Pelodiscus sinensis: one gene and its partner. The protein of the gene in region 1 purifies or fractionates together with the protein of each later gene. This does not show direct contact. Links are inferred from orthologs where the notes say so. Each region holds a gene or a part of one and is shown in the gene's direction. Other genes may lie near its edges.

The links.
Region 2: the proteins of KPNA6 (region 1) and RNMT purify together in Homo sapiens (co-immunoprecipitation; 3 studies listed by BioGRID and IntAct, counting the BioPlex papers as one, with this or other methods). This does not show direct contact. The link is inferred for Pelodiscus sinensis from reciprocal best matches to the Homo sapiens genes KPNA6 and RNMT.

What each region holds. Positions count from the first base shown.
Region 1 is NC_134735.1:3,504,611-3,515,529, forward strand, and holds the start of KPNA6 (importin subunit alpha-7), read left to right. Parts: upstream 1-6,215; 5' UTR 6,216-6,230; coding exon 6,231-6,294; intron 6,295-8,414; exon of another isoform or gene 8,415-8,551; coding exon of another isoform or gene 8,552-8,555; intron 8,556-10,919. UniProt on the Homo sapiens protein: Functions in nuclear protein import as an adapter protein for nuclear receptor KPNB1. Binds specifically and directly to substrates containing either a simple or bipartite NLS motif.
Region 2 is NC_134712.1:88,381,033-88,392,473, forward strand, and holds the start of RNMT (mRNA cap guanine-N(7) methyltransferase), read left to right. Parts: upstream 1-6,715; 5' UTR 6,716-6,858; intron 6,859-7,144; exon of another isoform or gene 7,145-7,167; intron 7,168-7,636; exon of another isoform or gene 7,637-7,915; intron 7,916-8,189; 5' UTR 8,190-8,249; coding exon 8,250-8,483; intron 8,484-11,441. UniProt on the Homo sapiens protein: Catalytic subunit of the mRNA-capping methyltransferase RNMT:RAMAC complex that methylates the N7 position of the added guanosine to the 5'-cap structure of mRNAs. Binds RNA containing 5'-terminal GpppC.

The sequences.
Region 1 (10,919 bases):
GCTGAGGCCACTGGGGTGGTCACCTGCAACACCCTGACAGCCGGAGAACAGCAAAGGACACCGCCACACCAAACAGTGACGCACATTTTAATAAAAGGACATCTTAGAATTTTCTGTGGGCGTCGTTCCTTGGCTGCTGCTTGGCTCACGGCACTGCCCCGGGCAGTGGAGTGGGGGTGGAATGACCCCCCCCCAAGCAGGAATTTACCCCTGTTGCTATGTGATCCTGTGGGCCCAGCGCGTGGGGAGGGGTCACAGCAAAACAAGCCATTCAGGAAGGGTTTGCGGGAGGAAGGTGAACCAGTAACGTAAAGGGTGATGCTTATGGGGTAAGAATTAACCGGGTCCCAGGAACAGCCCACCTACCACCGGGCTGACATAGCCCCTGCCTGTGGGGGGTGGGAGTGGTGCAGCCCAGCTTTGGCAGCTGACTCATATTTCGCTTTTGGGGCTCCCCGCCCCATTCCTTTCTGCAGGACTCCTTCCTAGACAGTCACTTCCCATTCTGGATTGTTCCTGTGTGAGCGGAGCACTTTGCATTTGGCCTTATTGAATTTCATCCTACTGGCCATTTCTCCTGTTTGTCCAGATCATTCTGAAGGGAGGTTGAAGTTGGACGTTAGGAAAAACTTCCTACCTGTCCGGGTGGTGAAACACTGGACTAAGTTGCCCAGGGGGGTTGTGGAATCTCCATCCCTGGAGAGATTTAAGAGCAGGTTGGACAGACACTTATCAGAGATGATCTCTAGACCAATGGTTCCCAACCTGGGGTCCACGGACCCCTGGGGGTCTGCGAGGGTATTGCAGGGGGTCCATGGAAAAATTAAAGGTAAATAAAAATAGAAAATATTTTTTAAATAAATTGAAAAGTTACAATGTTGTTTTTAAATTAAATATTTTCCAATAATGTTATGAATTGTGGTCCAAAAATCTATGTTGTGGCGCCTTTGTGTGACGAAACGATCATGACGGTTAGAAGCGTACACACGTTAGCCATACGTTCAACATGGATCTGTGGCGAAATCCGGCTCGCTGAAGAGAAAGGAGACTGAGCAGAGTGAGGCATCCACAAGTGGAACAGCTAATCAAACAGTAAAAGTGAGAAAATACCCCACTACTAGAATTGAGGCTAGAATTGGCTTTGATGGGGGTCTGCAAACAGTTTGGGGGGAGTGATTGGGGGTCTGCAAACAGTTTGGGGGGAGTGATTGGGGGTCCGCACTAGTGAAAAGGTTGGGAACCACTGATCTAGTTCTATGATCCTATGAATTATGACCCTGTCCTCCAAAGTACTTGCAACCCCTCCCAGCTTGGTATCCTCTGCACACTTTATAAACATACTGTCTATGCCAATATCTACATTGTTGATGAAGATGTTAAACAGAACCAGTCCCAGAAACGATCCCTGCAGAACCCACTCATTACGCCCTTTCTTGTATTTCCTTAGTTTCTTAATGAGGTCATGTGAGACTGTATCAAATACCTTAAGTCTAGCTACACCTCCTCTACTGCTGCTAAAAGCAGACAGAAGCTGGACATAAAAAATGTTGGTCCCTCCCAAATCTTCCCTCCTTGCTAAAGCCAGAGGAAAAGAGCCCTGACGTATACTTAGCTACACCTCATCTACTGCTTTCTCCTTGTTAGCCTGTCAAAGTATCAGGTGGTTTGACATAATTTGTTCTTTACAAATCCTATAAGCGTGGCTTGTGTTTTATTTTGTAGAAACAACCAATTGTGCACAAAGAGCAGAGAAAATTCAGCTGTTTCTGCCCAGTGACTTGCAGGCTTCCTGCAGACTGGAAAAAGGATCCCCTGCGATCGGCACTATCCTCAGCCCCCGCTAGGGATGTGAATGTGTATCCATGTACAGCAGGCATGTCAAACAAGCCTCCGGAGGGCCTCATGCGGCCCAATCAATATTTTTTGCGGCCCGCCACTACATTTTTATAAAAGAATAAAGTGCGTCCTGCTGGCCACTCGGAGCACGTGGCCAAGCGCAGATCACAGCCGGCTGACCGGCCACTCTACGCTCAGTGCTGCAACTACTGCTCTCGGCCGGCCAGGCCGCTCGGAGCTGGGTGCTCCAGCACGTGTTCACGACTGGCCAGCTGCTCTGCACAGGCATCAAGTGCCTGCTCACGCCACCCCAGCACCTGAGGAAGGAAAGTGTGGCGTCGCCAGCGACTCTGAGACCCAGACATTAGGTTGGGGGGGCTGGGAATGCCTGGCTCTGGGGGAGGTGGGAGGCATTAGGTAGGGGGGGCCTGGTTTTGGGGGAGCAGAGAGGGATTGAGTTAGAATGGGGGAATGGGAGTGCCTGGCTCTGGGGGAAAGGAGGGGAATATTTTGTTAATGTTTTGTTTTGTATTTATTTATTCCCAAATAAAATCATAAAATGTATATCAATAAATGTCAATTTTTTGCAGTTGCACGAATAATATATATTTATCCAAAATGTCAAACTTACAAAGTATCTGAAATTTTCACAGAAGCCTGTTCTATTTGATTAAGCTCGGTCTATACTTGTTTTTATTTCCACAAAACAAGTTATGTATCATACAAAATTAAAAAGTACCTTCAATTTATATTTAAATTAAAAAAATATTTTATATGGGCAAATAACAATTTGACACATCAAGTGATTGTATTATATTAAAACAAGACCTGAAAAAGTATAAAATATGCCTAAACCATGATAATAAATCATTATGACTTTCCAATAGAAGCACATTTTCTTTGGTGGCCCTGAAAGCGATCAGTTTCCGTTTGTGCGACCCTCAGTAGGCTTCGAGTTTGACATGCCTGGTGTAAAGGGTAAACTGATGAGCCTCCACACAGCTGCCTCTCTACTGATCCGCCTGCTCCCCCTTCAGCTGCTGCCTTTAATACAGAGGCAGCAGCCCATGGTGGGAGCTGGAATGCACAGGGAGCTGGCTTTCATACTGGCTCCCTGCATGTACTGGCTACCGCCAAGCTTAATATCCTCCCCCCTTCGTATCAGAGGCAACAGCATGGGGGGAGGGGCAGGAGGGAGCTGGTACATGTGGGGCGCTGTCTTTAAGCCAGCTTCCAGCATGTGCTGGCTCCTATGAAGCCACATGCCCTTCCCCCCACTGCTGCCTCCCACAGAGGCAGCGGGGCTGGGGGGCAGGTGGGAGCTGGTGCCTGCCCCCTGCGCTGATGCCTCCGATACAGAGGCAGCATTGGGGGGGCAGGTGATTTTAAAGCCAGCTCCCCATGAGCACTGGCTCCTGCCTCCCCCCCCCCACATTTTATCATCCCTAGCCCTCACCTGTCCCAGTCAACTGGGCCACTCTTGGGTGACCCCTTGTCTCCGTTCTCACTTGCCTTCCCAGGCTGTGTGCCACTGAGCCAGGAAGTGGCTACCTCAGCTCTTGAAGCATTTGTAGTGGGTGACTGAACTTGCTAGATGTCGTTTTCACCGAGATGCAGCAGGTCTCTGGATTTCCCCTGGCCCTACCTGCCTGGCACGAACTGGCCGTCTGGGAGCCCCACAATAAAACTTTGCTTTTAAGCCCTGTGTGTTCATCTAGTCAGCGGCGAGAGTCCAGTGTTCTGTGCCCTGTGACAGCTGCCCCGCGACGCTTTGCAACCAAGGAATTCTTTCCTGCCAACTGCGAAATCTCTACGGTTGTCCTTCACTCCCTTGAACAAGCTGGCTTGGAAAATGGTTGAAGCAAACGCTGGACCTGGGACGGGTCTTTGCTTTAACTCAGGGCTAGCCCGGGGTCGGGATTTTAATGTTTAATCTGCAATATCGGAGGGGTTCTGCTTCTCTTCTGCCCCAGATGGAGCCTTACAGCTGTGCAAGATGGATGCAACCAGCATTCTGATTTGGAAGCAGTTAACTGCTTTGCATAAGGGTCAGTGACACACGCCGGGTGAGAGGACGGGGCGGGGGGAGGGATCAGGGACAACCCGCTGTTCTTGACCTAAGAAGCCTCCAATGAAGATGACAAACAGCAGTGACACACGTCGATGGTACCTATGTAACTACAGGTTGAACCTCTCTACTCCAGCACCCTTGGGGCCAAACCAGAGAATTTGCCCAACCACAAGAGGCCAATATTATCTAGCACAGGGGTGGGCAATCATTTTGCAGTGGGGCCACTTTATTAATTTTGGTAAATGGTCACAGGGCGGCTCCACCCTGGAGTGGGTGGGGCTTGGAGTCGAAGGGGTGGGGCTGGGCACTAGCCTCCCCCCCCCCCCCCCGAGTTGTCTGGGGCTGGAGGCTTTGAAAAAACCACAGCAAAGGGCTCAGGGCCCCATCACTACTGCGTTGCCTGGCAGCTGCCCAGGGTGGCTGGGACTACAGTAATTCCTCATTTAACACTAGAGAGATGTTTCAGAGAATGATTGTGTTAAGTGAAAACGTGTTATGCAGGGTCAATTTCCCCATTGAAAAGGTGGGGGTTGCATTTCAAGCGGTGGTGTCTGTTGGGACCGGGACATAAGGTCGGGGGAGAAAGGGGACGGGGTTACAGCAGAGAGGGGAGGTGTTTGGCTCTGCGGACGGGAAGGGGAGGAGAAGGGAGGGGGACTGGGTTGGGAGCATGCCCCTGTGACTGGTCTGCCGGGACCCGCTCTGTGTCCGGCGAGGGGGGGTCACTGGGGAACGGCGTGGCGAGCGGCGAACCCTCCGCCACTTTGCAGGGAGGCGGGGGAAGCCCCACGTAGCCGCTGGTGATGGGCAGGCTGGGGAAACCCAGCCGCCGGCCTGCAAGTGGGGCCAGAGGAGAGGGGGCAAGGCGTCCGGTGAGGGGGAGGCAGTGAGGAACGGCGCGGTGAGCGGCAAACCCTCCGCTGCTTTGCAGGGAGGCGGGGGAAGCCCCATGCAGCCACTGGCGACGGGCCAGCTGGGGAAATCGTGTTATTCCGGGGACGGTTGTGTCATTCAAAAAACGTTCCCTAAAAAAAAAAAAATCGTGCTATCGCGAAAACGTGTTAAGTGGGCACGTGTTAAATGAGGAATGACTGTATTTAAAAGGCTCAAGGCTGTGACCTCTGCTGGGATAGTGCTGCGACTGGGAGCTATGAGCCATTTAAATGCATCCTTGCTGCCTGAGCCACCGCCTGGAAATTTGGTGGTACGGGCGGCAGGATATAAATAGAAAGCAGCCAGATGCAGTGCGCGGGCTGGATCAAAGTGTTTGCGGGCCGCCTATTGCCCAGCACTGGTCTAGCAGCATTACCACCACTTCCACTGCTGTGAAGACATGTAGAGGTAAATTAGAGCTACATCACAGCACAGAGCAGAGCCAGGGCTGGTGGCTGTAAACAAACTTTATGTGACCATGGAAAACTTGGCCACACCCATGTTAAGTGGCCATCCGGCTAACTAAAATCATGCTGGGCCATGGATGTTGCCAGACCAGAAAGTGCCGGACTGGAGAGGTTCAACGTATACCAAACCATTCTTCTCAAGGAACAATAATAGTTTCTCAGGATTTTTGGCTGAGGTTTTTGCTGCCCTTCCTCTAATTCCTTCATGCCAATCCTGCCCTTTGTCCATTGATCGGCAAGGTATTTAACTGGGAATCTCTCAGGGTATGTCTACACTACCCCGCTAGTTTGAACTTGCAAATGAACTAGCTGTACTCCTCATTCCACGAGGAGTACAGCTAGTTCGGATTAGGAAGCCTAATCCGAACTAGCTACTCCGTGCCGCGTGTAGCCGCGCGGCACGGGGTTCGAACTAGCCGGGATTTAAAAATGGCGGCGCCCGGTTTATGCAAATGAAGCCCAGGAAATTCAAATCCCGGGCTTCATTTGCAAGTGCGGTATGCCTACATTACCCTCCTAGTTCGAATCACGAACTAAAGCAGGAGGTGGGTAAAAGAACAGAGACCAGCCCCCAGCCCGTCCACGTGTGTTTTAAATAATAAACTACTGAGGGTTGATCAGCTGGAGCTTTATCTGCGGGAACTGTCGACTTGTGCTCCCGTCTCCAGCAGTGTAGTGGTGAAAATTGCTGGAGCATGTGAGGCAAACGCCAAGCGGTTAGAAGACAGGATGTGGAGCTGACCCGTTCTGTGTCAGGGACCATAAAATTTTCCTTTGGCACAGCCATTCTGCCATTGATGTCTGGCTGGTGGAACTCTATACACTGTCATCACGGCGTGCTCCTCTCCAAGCAAAGCGAAAACTGGAGTGACTAGATGGCTTTTTCTTCCCTGTCCTGTGGCGCCGGAGGCAGAATCACCTCGATGCTGATTTCTTCTCCCAAGGGTGGGGAAAGGGAAGTGCCCCCAGCCACGCTACAAGTGGGTGGTATGTGACTTATCTTTGGCGGGGCTGTGACAAAATGAAAGCCCTTCGTTGGGAGTGGCCGAGCAGCCAGGGCTGGAGACATGGGCTGATAGGCAGGAGAAGGTGCTGGCAGCAGCTGTGCCTCATCAACAGCAGGGCCGACTTATCCATTAGGCACAGTGCCTAGGGCTCAGGATACTTTTAGGGGCTCACGAAAATGTTTTAATTTCTTTTAAAATCAGAAGAAAAAAAATGAAACTTTTAGGGCCCACGAAAATCTATTACATTTTGCCTAAAACAGAAAAAAAATAAAACGTTGAAGTATTTAAAGTTGTATCAAAAATAATTTTTAATATTTTTTTTTTTTATGGAGGAAGAGGCCCACAAAGGCAAAAGTGCCTCGGGCCCTCGAAAGTCATAATTCAGCCCTAATCAACAGGAGGGAAAATAAATTCAAGGCTCCCCATGGGACAGAGTGTGTGGGAAGGAGGAGGAGAGTTCCTCCCGAGCAAATGGGGACAACAGCTGGGTGGTCTCCTTTGTCGCTTCCCCCACACGCCTCTCCCTTTGAAGATGAGAGGAACACAACTGGGAAGGTGCTGCCTCCTCTAACTAGGGTGAACATTCCTAGGAAGAATTTTATTCTAGACAGGTTCTGCCCCACTGTCAGCCACGTCCTCTTCTCTTGATTAACAACGGGAGAACAAACACCAACGGGCGCCATTTCCCAGGGTTTGGCTGTTCCCGGGGCTCTTTCTACAGGATGCCCTCGAGCTCCCTGAGAAATCACTCCCACTGCCCTTAGTGAATCAACAGGACCCAGTTAATCCTTTCCCAGCAGGATGGATGCTGCTAGTGTAACCGCCGCCGGGCGGGTTTGAATCGGGGGCTGACTAGAGGAGCCTCCACCCTCTGAGCTAAAAGCCAGCTGGCTCCCAGCCCATGCTGTAGAGGTCTCTTGATCTTAACTGTTGCTGTGGTCTAGGTACCACTTGCATTGCGCAGTAACCACACTAGGTGTGTGGGTTACATTAGCATACCACGCAGCTGGTTTTTTGGGGGGGTGGGGGAATCACATTCTATGTGCTCTCCAGCATGAAATCATGCTCCTACCTAAGGATGTTAAATTACGGTTAACTGACTAGTCGATAGGCACTTTCGCATTCCTCCTGAAATGGACAAGAGCCCCAGTGGGGGCTCTTGTGCACTTCAAAGACACAGCGCCCTCATGGAACCTGGGGTCATCGGGGGACTTAGAGTCCCCCGCTGATCCCGGGCTCCACCACTCTGCCCCTTTGAATGAACTCACAGGGTGGGTGGCATGGGTGGGGCGGGCGGGAGCAGGCGCAGAGAAGGGGTGGGTGGCGTGGGCAGGGCGGGCGGGAGCAGAGGGTGGGTGGCATGGCCAGGGCGGGTGGGGGCAGGGCAGAACAGGGGGTGGGTGGCGTGGGCAGGTTGGGTGGGAGCGAGAGCAGGGCAGGGCAGGGGGTGGGTGGCGTGGCCAGGGCGGGTGGGAGCAGGGCAGGGCAGGGGGTGGGTGGCGTGGGCAGGGCGGGCGGCAGCAGGGCAGGGCAGGGGGTGGGTGGCGTGGGCAGGGCAGGTGGGAGCGGGAGCAGGGCAGGGCAGGGCAGGGCAGGGGGTGGGTGGCGTGGGCAAGGCGGGTGGGAGCGGGAGCAGGGCAGGGGGTGGGTGGCGTGGGCAGGTTGGGTGGGAGCGGGAGCAGGGCAGGGCAGGGCAGGGGGTGGGTGGCGTGGGCAGGTTGGGTGGGAGCGGGAGCAGGGCAGGGCAGGGGGTGGGTGGTGTGGGCAGGGCGGGTGGGAGCGGGAGCAGGGCAGGGCAGGGCAGGGGGTGGGTGGCGTGGGCAAGGCGGGTGGGAGCGGGAGCAGGGCAGGGGGTGGGTGGCGTGGGCAGGGCGGGTGGGGGCAGGGCAGGGCAGGGGGGAAGCAGGTGGCAGGTGGGCGGGAGCAGGGGGACCAGGCTGGCTCCCAGGGCGTGGCCCAGCCCTGCCACCTCCAGCCCACGGGCGCTATCAGGCCTCGGCCTTGGGCCCCAGCACCAGCCGCCGTGGCCCCGCCCCGTACAGCTCAGCAGAGGGAGGGAGGAAGCGCCTCTCCCCCCTCCCCCCGCGCTGTCTCTGCCCCTTTAAAGGGCGGCGCGCGCGGCGGGGAGGTTTGTCCCTTCCCGGCCGCCGTTCCCTTCTCTCGCTCCCGGCCCTCCCCCGCCCCCGTCCGCCATATTGTGGCCGCCGCAGCTCGAGCCGGAGCCTGAGGAGCCGGAGATGGGTGAGCGGGGCGGGTGGGGAGGCCGCGGCGGTTCCTCTGCGCCCTGCCAGCGGGAGACTCCGGCCCGGCGGGTCCGGCCGCCCCTTGCCCTGCGGCCCGGGCCCTGAGCCCGCGCCCGTCACCCGGGTCTCGGAGCGCCGGGGTGGGGCTACGCGCCCCTGCTCCCGCCGGCCCCCGGGGTGCCTGGCTCGAGGGGGCGGGTCTGCCCTGTGGGGGGGCTGGTTCCCCCTCCCCCTCCTCGGGCAGTGGCCGGCGGGGGGCGCCGCTGCGTCCAGCTGCCCTGCGCGGGGTGGGGGGAGGCGGCTGGCGGGGCCCCCGCTCCCCTCTGCCTGGGGACACTTCTGCTTATTCATGCCGAGCGCTGCCTGCCCCCCCCCGGTACCTGCCGGCCCCCCCGCCCCGTCCCTGGGTGGAACCCCCCCCCCCCCAGCTGGTGGGCTGTAGCGAGAGCCCTTGGAACAGCCCTCACACGGGACCTCTGTGCGAGGTGCCCCCCCCCCAGCCTTGTGCCTCGCAGCTGCGGGGGGCCCCAGGGCCCGAGGCAAACACTGCCCCCGCCTTTCACTTCTTGAGTTTGCGGTGGGTCTCTTGGCTGGTGTCTTCCACCCCAGAAGTGGCGGCGGGACTGCCCCTTTCATCTTGAAAGGAAGGGGCTGGATCGTGGCTTTAAATGTGGCTCGGCCAAGAGTATTTGGTTCGGCTTCTTTATCAGCAATACTTGGTAGATAGGAGGAGAAAAAGATGGACCACAGTTGTACTTTTCATGGATTTTGGGGGGATAGGAATGTTAGGCTGGTATGCCAACTGTAACTTGCACAAGGTGGGGAGGAATCGTGTGTGTGTGTGTGTGTGTTTTTAACCAACTCTTTGGAGCCGGGTATTGTCTACTGGGACCTTTGCCACCCCTAAACAACACTCAGTGTATGTATGAAGATTAAAACAATAAGATTCTTGCTGTCTGCTACTTTCTGCAAAATGATGCTAACCCCAGTCCCTTCCTCTCATTGAACAGAGGAGCTTCCATACTTCCTGAAGGTCGGTGGACCAATTCTCCCTAATCCATGGCATGCCAACTCTGTGTGGTTTTTACCAAAGTCCAGTTCTGAGGCAAAACTTTCACTGTGTATGTGGGCTCAACCTAGGACTGTTTCCTAGCGACTTAGTAGGGAAGAGAGCCTGAGGTCAGCCAGGAATGAGGCTTAAAAATGCTGCTCTGTTCTGCAGCTGTATTTTATCTTGAGGAGCAGACTTCTGCTCATCTTCACCAATGTGGGGTTTTGTTGATGCCCTATTCTTGGCTTCCAACAACTGTTTTAGTGTAAGTGTTTGTGGCTTTGTAGCGTTGCTCTCTGAGCAGCACAAAGAGGAATTACTTTTCTGGAAACTGAACTATATAGCTTACCTCTCCTGTCTGTAGTACTATTGCGTTATGGTTCTTGGGTTGGGGCAGGGGAAGCCCTGGTCTACTGGATGTCAAGAAAACCATTCCAAAACCTTCTAGCCGCACAAGGTTCAAATCCAGCTGTTGCTAGCTAGTCTTCATCCATCCTGTGAATATGGCCTAGTATCAAGTCCCTCCTTAATGAACATGACGGGATCTTGAATTACTTTAAATTTTAATCTTCACAGAAGCTGATTAGATTAGTAGAGGATTGTACAGAATGGAATTCCACTGATTTTTGGTGATGGAGATGCCACATGAGCTGGTGACTGGAGAAAACTGAACTGTCTCCGTGGGCCTGTCTCAACAGCCCCCTCTGCTGTGTTAGAGCATTAAAGTTTTGCAGGATAGTGCCACAGTTATGTTGCCCATATCTAGGTCTTCCATGGGTAATCGGGACCAAACTGTTATAACATCGCTATTAAAATGGCTATAAAGACTGTTTTAAACACTAGCGATTTTAACGTGTAGTGGACTATGTGATTGTTAATCTTGTTGACTATATGCATCCCATCCCTCCCTTGCTGCTTCTGATACAGAGGCAGCAAGGATATGGGGGAGGCAGGAGCTGGTGCCCGTGATGTGCTGACTTTTAAGCCAGCTCCCACAAGCACTGGATCCTGTGGAATTGCTCGGCCATGCTACTGTCTCTTGGAGGCAGGAGCTGATATGCATGGGGAGCTGGCTCTCTGTACATTCTGGCTCTGTGGAGCTGCCTTCCCCCTACCTCTCCTTTGCTGGCTTACATAGAGGTAGTAGGAGTTGGGAGGGGGCAGATGGGAGCCAGTGCTCAGCTTTGACTCTGCGTTCTAAGCCTACACCAAGGTGGCCAGCCCACAGCTTGCGAGCTGCATGCGGCTCTTCATCCCTGAAAGTATGGCTCGTGAAGCCACCCACGTACCCCTACAGTTGGCCCCTGGTCC
Region 2 (11,441 bases), on another chromosome or scaffold:
TTCATCAAACTTCACTTTAAATAAAGTAAAATATTAATTTATGTCTAACACAAGATTTCAATATTTTCTTTATTTATGGCAGGGATGGGAAACTATCAGTAGGGGACCACACAAGTGGCAAACTACTCCAAAAACCCCCAAACCTCTGAGCCTGACCCCATCGCACCCCAGCCCCCAATTCCCACATTACCTCCTCACCCCAGCCCCTGCATCCTCTGCTCCTGGCTACCATCCCTCCCACAGGAGGGGTCCTGGCTCTGTGCAGGGTCCCTATTAGGGATGTTAAGTAACGATTAATTTGCTAGTCGAGTAGTTGATGGAATTTCCATTCACTACTCAATAAGCACTTCTGCCTTTGAAATGCATTTCAAAGTTGGAATGCTGCACGGAGCCCTGGGCCAGTGGGAAGTCCTGCTGACTCTGGGCTCCACACAAACGCTTCCTCTTTGAAATCCACAAGAGCCACCGCTGGGGACTGTTGTACATTTCAAAGCTGGCACACGGCATTGATCTGGGGTCAGTTGGGGGAGTCCCCAACTGATCCCAGACTCTACCTGGCATTTCAAAGCGGCAGCGCCGCATGAAGCCCAGGGTCAGCGAGGGAATCCCCAGCTGATATATTATAGCTATAGTTTTAAAATGTGCAGATGATACTTGGAAGACAGGATTAGAATTTAAAATGACCTAGACAAAGTGAGGAATTAGTTTGAAATCAACAAGATGAAATTAAATAATGTTAAAAGCACAGCACTATGCTTTGGAAACAAAACCAAATGCACATATAACTGATAGACAGTGTTTTTGTATCATAGGATCTGAGGGCTATTGTTGAACACAAAGGCTGTGTCTAGATGGGCAAGTTTTTCCGCCAAAGCAGATGCTTTGGCGGAAAAACTTGCCAGCTGTCTACACTGGCCGCTTGAATTTCTGCAAGAACACTGACTTCCTACTGTCTGAAATCAGTGCTTCTTGCGGAAATACTATGCTGCTCCTGTTCGGGCAAAATTCCTTTTGCGCAAAAGGGCCCGTGTAGACAGCTCAGATTTGTTTTCCGCAAAAAAGCCCCGATCGCTAAAATGGCAGAAAAGCACATCTAGACTGGCACGGACGCTTTTCTGCGGAAAATCATGCCAGTCTAGACATAGCCAAACAGATGAGCCGACACATATATGCAAAGTTTTCTATTTTTTCCATGAAGTATCAGCAGGTCTTTAAATTGGTTATTGAACTATGATGTTAAAATGTGACAGTGTTGACTATTTTGCTAAGTGATTTAACTAGGAAAAAAATCCAGCGGCTGTGTTTGTTCAAGACTGGTCCAGCGTAACATTCTAGAACAGGGGTTTAATTAAAGCAGTGGCTGTACGACAGCATAACATTTGTCAACAAAACTATAGTGTAGACAAGGGTTTATTCTCTGTAGTATTTTCACATGTGGCTGTCTCTTCACTTGCACTTCTAGATCTCCCACTACTGTGCTTCACTAGTACTAACACTAGCAGAGTCTGGTCAGTGGTCACCAACTTTTTTACATAATTGTGTCTAACCTTCGCTTGGTCACAATGTAGTTGTAGACAGATGGATCTAGCTATATCACAGAACCATAATAAAACCTTGGACAAGTTAAGTCCATATCGAGATCTGAATATATTCACTAGGGATGTAAAGGGTTAACCAGTTACCCAGTAAGCATCCTGTTTAACCTGTTAACTTATTAACCAGGATTTTATATTCCTAATATTCACTGCTGTAACTGACTACATTGACAAAGCAGTATTTATAATGTAGACAGACCTTTAGCAGAATAGGGAACATCTTTTTAAAAAGATCTTTAAGTTTTCACAATAGAATTTTGGAAAAAATATTAGACAGTATATAAGTAGAAGAGCTATATTTTATATCTGTGTAGTCAGTTAAAGATGTGGGATGTTAAACAGTAGGTTTCTACTGATTTAAAAAGCATTTCAATTCATCTTTATACTGATGGGATGCAAATTAGCTCATCTGCATCCAACTAGAAGTGACAGAAATACTCCCACCCCCGCCTTTACTTTGACAGGAGTCAGAGATCTTAAGTTCTACATTGTACTTAGTTCTACCTTTTAACACCACACTAAATTAAATCTTCACAGCTTCTTAAAAATACAATATACAAACTCTTTATAGCACTTTCTAGGCTATTACATTTCTGCACCATAATGCAGTCACCAGTTCTATAACTTTCTTGCGGGGGGGGGGGTGGTGATAATTCCAAATCCATAGTAACCACTCAGTATCTCTGCTCCTTAATACTGAACAATTATCTTGGCTCTTTTCTTTAGAAGTTTTATTCTGCCCTCTACTGAATCCTTACAGAATCACACTTCAATTTCAGAAGTTATTGCAACCAACTACTAGCATTTATTAATGGCTTCTTACCACATTATATTGTATTAGAAAATAATACAACTTTTGAAAAAAATGGCAGTAGCCAATTTTTTCTTGCCATAACAACATGATGTTTCCTCTGTATCTTCCAACTCCTGGAAAAAAAAGGGGGAGGAAGAATAGGGGCAGCATGAGGAGAGTTTATAATTTGGAGCACCTAAGAAGGGGAAGAAGAGCTGGACATAAAAAAGTTACCAGTTTTATAAGCATACTCGGGGGGCTATGCCCCGTTTGCTACACTCACCAACCCCCCTCTTCGGGGGTAGGCAGCCCTGGCTCTCCTCCCAGCTGCTGGGGAGGGCCAGGCTGAGGCGTGGCAGCATTGTTGCCCCCTGGGCGGGCAGCTGCCGGAGGGACATTGAGTCCCGGTTCAGGAGCTGGGGTGACCCCTGCCTCCGATCCTCTCTCTTCACATTGGGCCTCTGCCTTGCCGCTGCCTCCTCCCCCCATACATCTCAAGCAGAAATTGAAACTCCCAGCAGTCTGCCATGTGGTGGCTGCCAGAGGCCCATCCAGGCCCGGCTGCCACCCTGCCCAGTTCAGGGGCCAGTGCCCCCCTAACAGTGAGCCTTTCCAGCAGCCCTCGCCCACCCTCCCTGCCAGAATTTTTTTAATCCCCGCTAAAGCGGGACTATCTGCTGGCCCCCTTATTCCCTCCCCAGGAGCCCACCAGCAGCTGCAGCTTATCTTCAGTGCTGCTGCTCAGGAGCCATGTGTTCCCTATCCCAGCTGGGTTAGCAGCAGGCAAGCAGGAGGAGATGGGACCGCTGAGGGGGGAGGGGTTGTGGGATGCAGAGTGACATGATGACGTCACTCTGTCATCCAGCAGGAAAACCTTTTTATAGATAGAAAAGAGAATCTCTTACTGACTGAACTGTTAATGTATGCTTGCTGTCTGAGAATGAAACCTGTACCAACAAGTGCAAGTTTATTCTGCTGCTGTAGGAACAAAGACAGCAGGAATATTGTGGGACCCATTGTAACCTCCAAAAATCATATTGAATTCCAGGAGATGAGATGAAAAAAAGTCTGATTGCTAAGGGCTGTACTTCAATGTATAATTACTTCTGCTTCAGAGAAAAAAAAAGCATAGGGAAAAAACAGAAAAGATATCTAAATTAAGATCTAAAAACCAGTTTCTTGGTTACTCTAATGTTCTCTGAGGAAGGAAGATGATCAAGTGGCATGTGCTGGAGCCAAGATCCACCAAACAGCCAATAGGTAAGTATCTTTAAACTTTTTTCCTTCTCCATTCTTGGCTGGAAAAAATCTCTCAAGTCACCGTACTGGCAGGAATAGAGCTATAAGAGCATTATTTCTGATAGTGGATGACAATCACCAGAACAGTTGTACAACTGTTTGTAATTGTTTAACTGTTACTCGTGGACAATATCAGATTTTGGGTAACATCAGATGGCAGATCCATAGGGTGCCCAGAAGAGTTGGCCAAGGAGCATTTCCCCTTTCAAGTCTCCACAAATAACACAGGACCTACCCAGAGCTAATTTTATATAGTAAAAATGTTTTTCTGCACAACAGAAGAAACTTTACCTCTGGAATTGTCAGTGCAGCATGCACTGAATTGTGTTTTAGTGTAGGATCATGAAACAGGCAAAAGGTGTGGTGAGGCATAATTTGTAAGAACTGAAACATTGAGGGTGGGGGAAGCAATTGGGAACAATGAAAGGATCAGAACTCTTCATAGAAGAGTAAAGAGTATTTCCCTGAAACTTAGACTATGTCTACACTACAGGCTTTTTGTGCAAGAACGATTGTTCTTGCGCAAAAACTTGCAGAACGTCTACACTGCACGCATGTTCTTGAGCAAGTAAATTTACAGTAAAGCGTCGGAAAGCGGGGCTTCTTGTGCAAGAGTTATTCCTCTCCCCATGAGGAATAAGCCCTCTTGAGCTGCAAGAGCTCTTCCACAAGAAGGCAGTGTAGACAGGCAACAGGGATTTCTTGCTCAAGAAAGCCCTATGGCTAAAATGGCCAGAGCTTTCTTGTGCAAGAGAGCGTCCACACTGCCACGGACGCTGTTGCACAAAAGCACATCTCTTCCACAAAAGCACATGGCAGTGTGGACGCACTCTTGTGGAAGACCTTTTGCACAAGAACTCTTGCGTAAAACAGTTACTGCGCAAGAAGCCTGCAATGTAGATGTAGCCTCAGAGAATAAGAGGTCACAAATTAATATTTGCATTCAAGTAGCACCTAGAAGCCCCAGTGACACACACTCTAAATAGACAAACAGGCAAAGCAAGCGAAAGAGGTTTAGACAGGACTTCACCATCAGACTATCATCATCTTAGTAAAAGTCAGACAAAAGTCTGTTGAAAATGTAGCTGACCCACTGAAAACCTATGGAAGCTACCTAATATTTTAATAACTTGTTCATCTACTTTAGAGCAAGAATTAGCCTTGGATACCAAATTTCTTGTGGATTATGAAGAATCTCAAATAGATTGCTAAAAGTTTAGTTCAAGGAAACTGGTCTGAAAGCTCTGATGTGAAGATGGAAAAAAGTATTCTGCTCTTATGAAAAGCAGAGATGAGAGTTGGGTAGAGTAACATGATCAAATAATTCACTACTGAGAAGACACATTATCTGCTCTTTTAAATGTATGCAGGGAAAGAGGGCTCCTCCTTCCTGGCACTTTTGGATTCAACAAATGGAAAGTAAAAGTTAAAAGGAATGTTGACCTTCTTTTGCTAAAAGGTCACTTTTCTCTGAAAACTCTTTAAGGAGAGTATTGAGGATGTGTGTGTGATAAAGGGAAGGTACAAAAGCCTACAACGTTTTGCTGCATTAACTAGTTACTGCAAAGTTAAAATAGCAAACACCATCATAGCATAAACATAGTTATAATACTATATAAGCACTTTTATGGCACAACTGCAACTATACTAGTACTTATACCAGGGCTTTCTGACCAATTCCCTTGAACAAAACCATGTTGGTAGCAAAATGACACCTCTTACTAACATAGTTATGCCAGCCAAACTTAAGTATAAACTAAGCTAAGTTTTGAAGATGTATACTTCTTCCAGAACAAACCCAGAGAGCAAAGAAAGCACTCCAGCGCTTTAGCCTATATCCACAATGTAAAGTGTGTAGGTTACCAACCTCATATTCAGCTCTCAGATTTTAGTCTATATCTCCATACAGGCCAACTTAACTCAGACTGAAAGCTCCAAATTCATATTGGAGGTTTGTGCACGTTTGTTGACAGAAGTCACCTTAGTAACAACAGAGTAGTGAAAGCTCAGGTTAACACTGCAATGAAGGCATGCAGAGCAAGGAATCCAATTCCCACTGAAGGTAGGCACCAAGTCCTACACACCCAGAAGGCACCTTTAGTCCTCTATGAATGTTATAACATGTTGGTATTTTACAAGAGGTCATTAGCAGACATCTGTGGAGAGTTCCACAGAGCAGCTATCAATAGAAGTTGACACAAAGAGTTCTCACCCTGATTTGATTTCAGTCAGCTACTTTCTGCTTTGGTCCTAAGGTGACTAGGGAAGTGAGCAGAGAGGCAAGATGGAAGCAAAGAAAACCGCGAACACTCCGTAGGCACTGGGGGCAGTGGAGGGGAGGGGGGGGGGCAAAAATGGAGCTGAACATCGGAGAACCTGGAAGATAATGTCCTCAATTCTGAGGGCCCCACCCCTGTCTGAAAGGATCCTCTCTCCTTGCATCAGCTGAAGCCACATCCTACTAACACATCGATGCAATATGTTCCCAATAAAAGCAGCGGTAGCTGAACAGAAGGACTCCAAGCCCCCCCAAGCGCGTGTCGGACCAAACAGAAATGCCTTGACTCGTGGGCGCGGGCCGACGCGTGGGTCCCTTGGAGGAGCCCCCTCTCCAGCGGGCAGTGGTGCTGGCGGCGGGGGGTGTGCGGGGAGGGGGCGGGGGGCGCTCACATTCCCGCCGCCAGCGGACGGGCCGGGACCGAAGCGCCGCCGCGGGGGACCCCAGCCCGCCCGGGGTCACGCCCCGCCCCCGGAACGCGCGCGGGGATCGGTACCTTGCGCTCCATCAGGCCGCGGCCGCAGGGACCCGGGCGGGCGGCAGGGTTGGGTCGGCAGCCGCGCTCTCCTCGCGGGGCTACAGGGGCCTCGCTCTGCCCCCGGGCAACGTGTTTGCAAACCCCCTCCCCGGGCCCAATCGCTCACACTGCGCATGCGCCACTGCAAAGCCTTATGGGGACTGTAGTCCTGGGAAACAGCGGGGCGCGGCTCTTCAGGCCACTTCCTTCCCTTTCGAGGCGCCCTGGACTGGCGAGGAGTCACGTATGCGCGTGCGCAGCCGGTACCCCACTGCGGCTCTCGCAGGCTCCTCCCCATTACCGGAAACGACGCAATCAGCTCGCGGCTTTCTATGCGCGTCACATCCGCAAACAGCATGGCAGAAAGCCCGCTTTGGTGAGCGCTGCGCAGAGGCTTAAGGGCCGGCGCGTTTCTCGCTCCTAAGGAGCCGCGCGCGGGGCGGTGGGGCCCCTGTGGCAGCGAAGCGTCCCCTGAAGAAGCGGTTTCCGTGCGCTCGCGCCGCTTCAGCGGCTCCAGCCATTTGCTATCCGCCGAGCGGGAAATTTGGGGGCGGGGCCGACGCTCACATTCCCGCTCGCGCCGCGGGGGAGGGGAGAGCTGCGCGCGCGCGCTGCGGCAACGGAAGGGGGCGGGGCAAAGCGGTGCCGTGGGGGTGGGAACTCGCAGTCGCTTGTTGAGCGCTAGGTGGGACGCAGAGGAAGGCGGTTGGGGGGGGGCGCGTGGGCGCCGTTGCTAAGGGGACGGGGTGGGGTTCGCGCCACTGTCGGCCCGCGGCCTGGCCGCTGGGAGGGCGGGGCAGTGAGACACTCAGAGATGGGCCGAAGGGGCGGAGCCCGGGCCTGGCGTTTGGGGGTGGGGGCTGTTCTAGCCTCGTCGCCCCGCCCTTTCGGGTTTCTCGAGTTCCGGGGGCGTGGTTCCTGAAGGTGACCCGCCAAGAGAAAAGCAGGGGCGCCCCCTCTCCCCTCCCCCGCGGCTCCCGTGCTGGTCAGCGGAGGGGAAGGGGGAGGTGGCGGCTGCGGCAGCAGCGTTCCCCGCCCACCACTGCCTGGTCTCCCCGGAGCCCCGCCCCTCGCTTCTCTCCTTTCGGCGCGAGGCAAGTGCCCGCGCGCGAGACACCCCCCCCCCCCCGGGGTCGAACGTGAGGGGGGGGCGGTGTCTCCTGCCCGCCTTGGGCCGAGTCAGGGACGCCGGGGCGGCACCGGTGCCCCGAGCTACACAGCGGAGGGGCTGATGGTCCCTCCTGCCTCTCGACTCGGAGAGAAGTGCCCCCCCCTCCCCGTCAGAGCCCAGCGCGAGCAGGGGAGAGGCCGCGTCTGCCCCAGGCCTTCCTGCCAGCCCGGGGTTTTTGGCCACCGTCTTCATTGTGTCTTTCCCCTCTTGGGTGTGACAGAAGCACCTCAGCAGGGTTTGCTGGGCAGGTGAAACAGTGAAGGTAGCTGCAGTACAGCCCTGTCAAATGCACAAAATAAACCGGAACAAAGAGAAACTGTTACAGCAACTTCGGTGTTGCCTGTGCTAAAACCAGTGAATGCACTTACAGTGTAACTTTTTAACCTTGTTGACCCTTTATAACTAATCGAATATTGAGGTCCAGTAAAAGCTTTGGATTTGTTCTATAGCCATTGAGTGTGATAGTGCTTTTATAATAATATAACAGAGGACAAGCATCCATTATATGCAAAGTAATATTTCACGTTTTTCCACAGTTTATTTGTGGAATAAAATTGATACTGTTTAATCAAGCAACACGAAGAATAAGCTCCAACATGTCTGATTCCAGCAAGGTTGAAGAACAAGAGTTAGAAAAGAGCTTAGTTGAGGAAGCAGACAGAATAATTTCTAAAGCTTCAGAGGCAGAGTCTGCTGTCAGTTTGGATGAGGACAATACAACATCAGCTAAAGAGCAGGATGCTGGAAATGAAAAGGAAGATGTTAGCGGTCATCAGGACACAACATCAAAAAAGAGAAAAGCAGAAGATGAAGATGAACCTAGAGAAGTGGTGAGTATAATCTGTTTTCAGTTTTGTCTGAACAATAGGCAAAGACTGAAATGTTTTGGGGCACGTGTTTACCTAAGTACATTGATCATTAAATTATTTATATCAAGCATTTTACAGTGTATATTTATAAGATTGTAGCGGCTAGTGTCTCATGAACCGCTTGACCTAAATTTTAATTCTGAATACAGCTTTTTTAATATAACAGCAGGTGCTAAAATTACGTTGGAACTCAAGGAACTGGGAAGAAAGATAAATAGAATGAGAGGCTTTAAATAGTCTAAGATCTGTCAGGGCTTGAAATGAGTACTCTATTAAAACAATCAGTTTGGGATTTGGTGGTTGTTGACATGTCCAGATTTAAACTGTTACTGCTTTCATAGTTTAGCAGTGTGTAGTTTTACAGGATTTTTAGAATTGGTACAAGTCTGAATAAGTTGTGTTGAATTCTGAAGTAGGAATGTAATACAGGCAGTCCCCGAGTTACGCGGATCTGACGTCAGATCCGCAGTTACGAACAGGGATTTTTCTCGCCCCGGAGGACTGGAGCAGTTGGACGCCTGGTCCCGCCGCCTGCCTCCTCCCGGGCGAGAAAAGCTGCTCCCGGTCTCCCTGGTCTGCTGGGGGAGCCAGCAGACCAGAGAGACGGGGAGCAAAGCGGTGGAGGACCCGGGGCCGGACCCGCGGCTGCTTCCAGATCAGCTGGAAGCGGCCGCGGGTCCGGCCCCGGGTCCTACGCGGCTTTGCTCGGCGTCTCCCTGGTCTGCAGACCAGGGAGACGCCGAGCAAAGCCGCGGAGGACCCGGCCGGACCCGCGGCGCTTCCAGCTGAGAAAAGCCGGGGAGGACCCGGGCCGGACCTGCGGCACTTCCAGCTGATCTGGAAGCGCCACTGTCCAGCCCGGGTCCTCCACCGCTTTGCTCTGCGTCTCCCTGGTCTGCTGGGGGGGGGACGCAGCTAGTGCCCCCCCTCCCCCCCAGCAGACCAGGGAGACGTGGAGCAAAGCCCGGGGCCTGTGGTAGAGCAGGTGGGGCGCTGCCGGTTGGTCCCGCAGCACCGCTCCTTAGCGCTACTGGACCAACCCGGCAGCACCCCAGCTGCTCTGCCCCAGGCGTCCTGATTCAGCCGCTGCTGATCAGTTTCAGCAGCGGCTGAATCAGGACGCCTGGGGCAGAGCAGCTGGGGTGCTGCTGGGTTGGTCCAGTAGCGCCGAGGAGCGGCCACGCTACTGGACCAACCCAGCAGCACCCGAGCTGCTCTGCTCCAGGCGTCCCCAAGTTAGCCGCTGCTGAAACTGACCAGCGGCTGACTACAGGAAGCCCGAGGCAGAGTTGCTCTGCCCCAGGCTTCCTGGAATCAGCTGCTGATCAGTTTCAGCAGCAACTGACTTGGGGACGCCTGGGGTTCTTAAGTTGAATCTGTATGTAAGTCAGAACTGGTGTCCAGATTCAGCCGCTGTTGAAACTGATCAGTTTCAGCAGCGGCTGAATCTGGATGCCAGTTCCCACTTACATACAGATTCAACTTAAGAACAAACCTACAGTCCCTATCTTGTACGTAACCTGGGGACTGCCTGTAGTATATAATCAGTGAACCGATAAACGAAAGCTTATTGGTTACTTCTGTAGAATACATGCATTTCTCCCTCCCCTGCCAGTACATTTTTTAGCAGGTTGGCCAGTTGCCTGGTTCAGTCCTGGCTTGCACTGGGTCCAGGACCTACCCCTGCTGTGACTTTGCATTTAAAGTGTAATTGGGAGCCATGTGGGCAGGCAGCCTGGCTCAGTTCCAGCTTGCGCCGGGGCCCAGGAGCTCAGACTTCCCTGCCCTGGACAGAGGTTGCTGCCACCTAATTCTGCTGTCTCTGTATCGGAGGCAACAGTGCGTGGTGACAGCTAGTCCACAAAAGGAGCTGTTCTTTAAATGGGCTCCTCTCACGGTGCCACCTGGCACCCTATTTTGCTGCCTCTGTTAGAGGCAGCAGTGTGGATTGGCAGGAGCTCCTCGGAAGTGGGGGTGGAGCTGCCTGCCCCAACCCCGGGAACTATGGAATAGTCGATAAGAATTCATGAGGTTAATTGACTATTCATTTAACTGATATTTAACATCCCTATTCTGAACCATGATAACTTTTTGCATACTTGTATGTGTTTTTGGAGTATCTTTTACAAGGTTTGTATAATTTAAGACTTTTAAGAGCAGGTTAGACAAACAGCTGTGGGGGGTGGTTTAGATCAGGGATGGGCCATCATTTTTTATGTGGGGCACATCTGAAGAAGTGGGCTGTAGATACCATCTACCTGTTTTGTTAATCTTTAAAGTGCTACCAGACTATTTGTTGTTTTTTAAGTTTTACCAAGATTTTGGTAAGTAATCAAGGGCTGCACTTTTTTATAGAGGGGCTGTGGGATCTGGAACAGAATTTGGGTGCAGATGGGAGGTCAGGATAAGGGACTGGGGTGCAGAAGAGGGTATGGGGATCTAAGAGGGAGTTTGGGTGAAGGAGGGGGCTGTGATCTGGGGCAGGAGATTGGGGTACAGATCTGATAGGGGTTAGGAGTGCAGGAGAGGATTCTGGCCTGGGGGTAGAAGTGAGGGAGGGGGTGGAAAGTTGGGAAGAGGGAAAGTCATGACCTGAGGAGGAGGGTTCAGAGGGTTTGGTTTTTATCTAGGGCAGGTGTTTGAGGTATAGGGTCTAGGAGAAGGTATGGGTGCAGGAGAAAGATCCTGGCCTGGAAAAGGGTTAGGAGAGATGTGGAATCTGTGAGGGAGTTGGGGGACGGGTGGAGGGGCTGAAGTGCCGGAGACATGCTGTAGTTGGAAAGCACTTACCTAAGCAGCTCCCAGACAGAAGCACTCAGGCAGGCTTCCCCGCCAGCAGCCCCAGACAACTAGCTGTGCATATGGTGCTCTGTACTGCCAGAAGGGGAGAGGGAGAGTGAGAGGTTTCACATGCTGCCC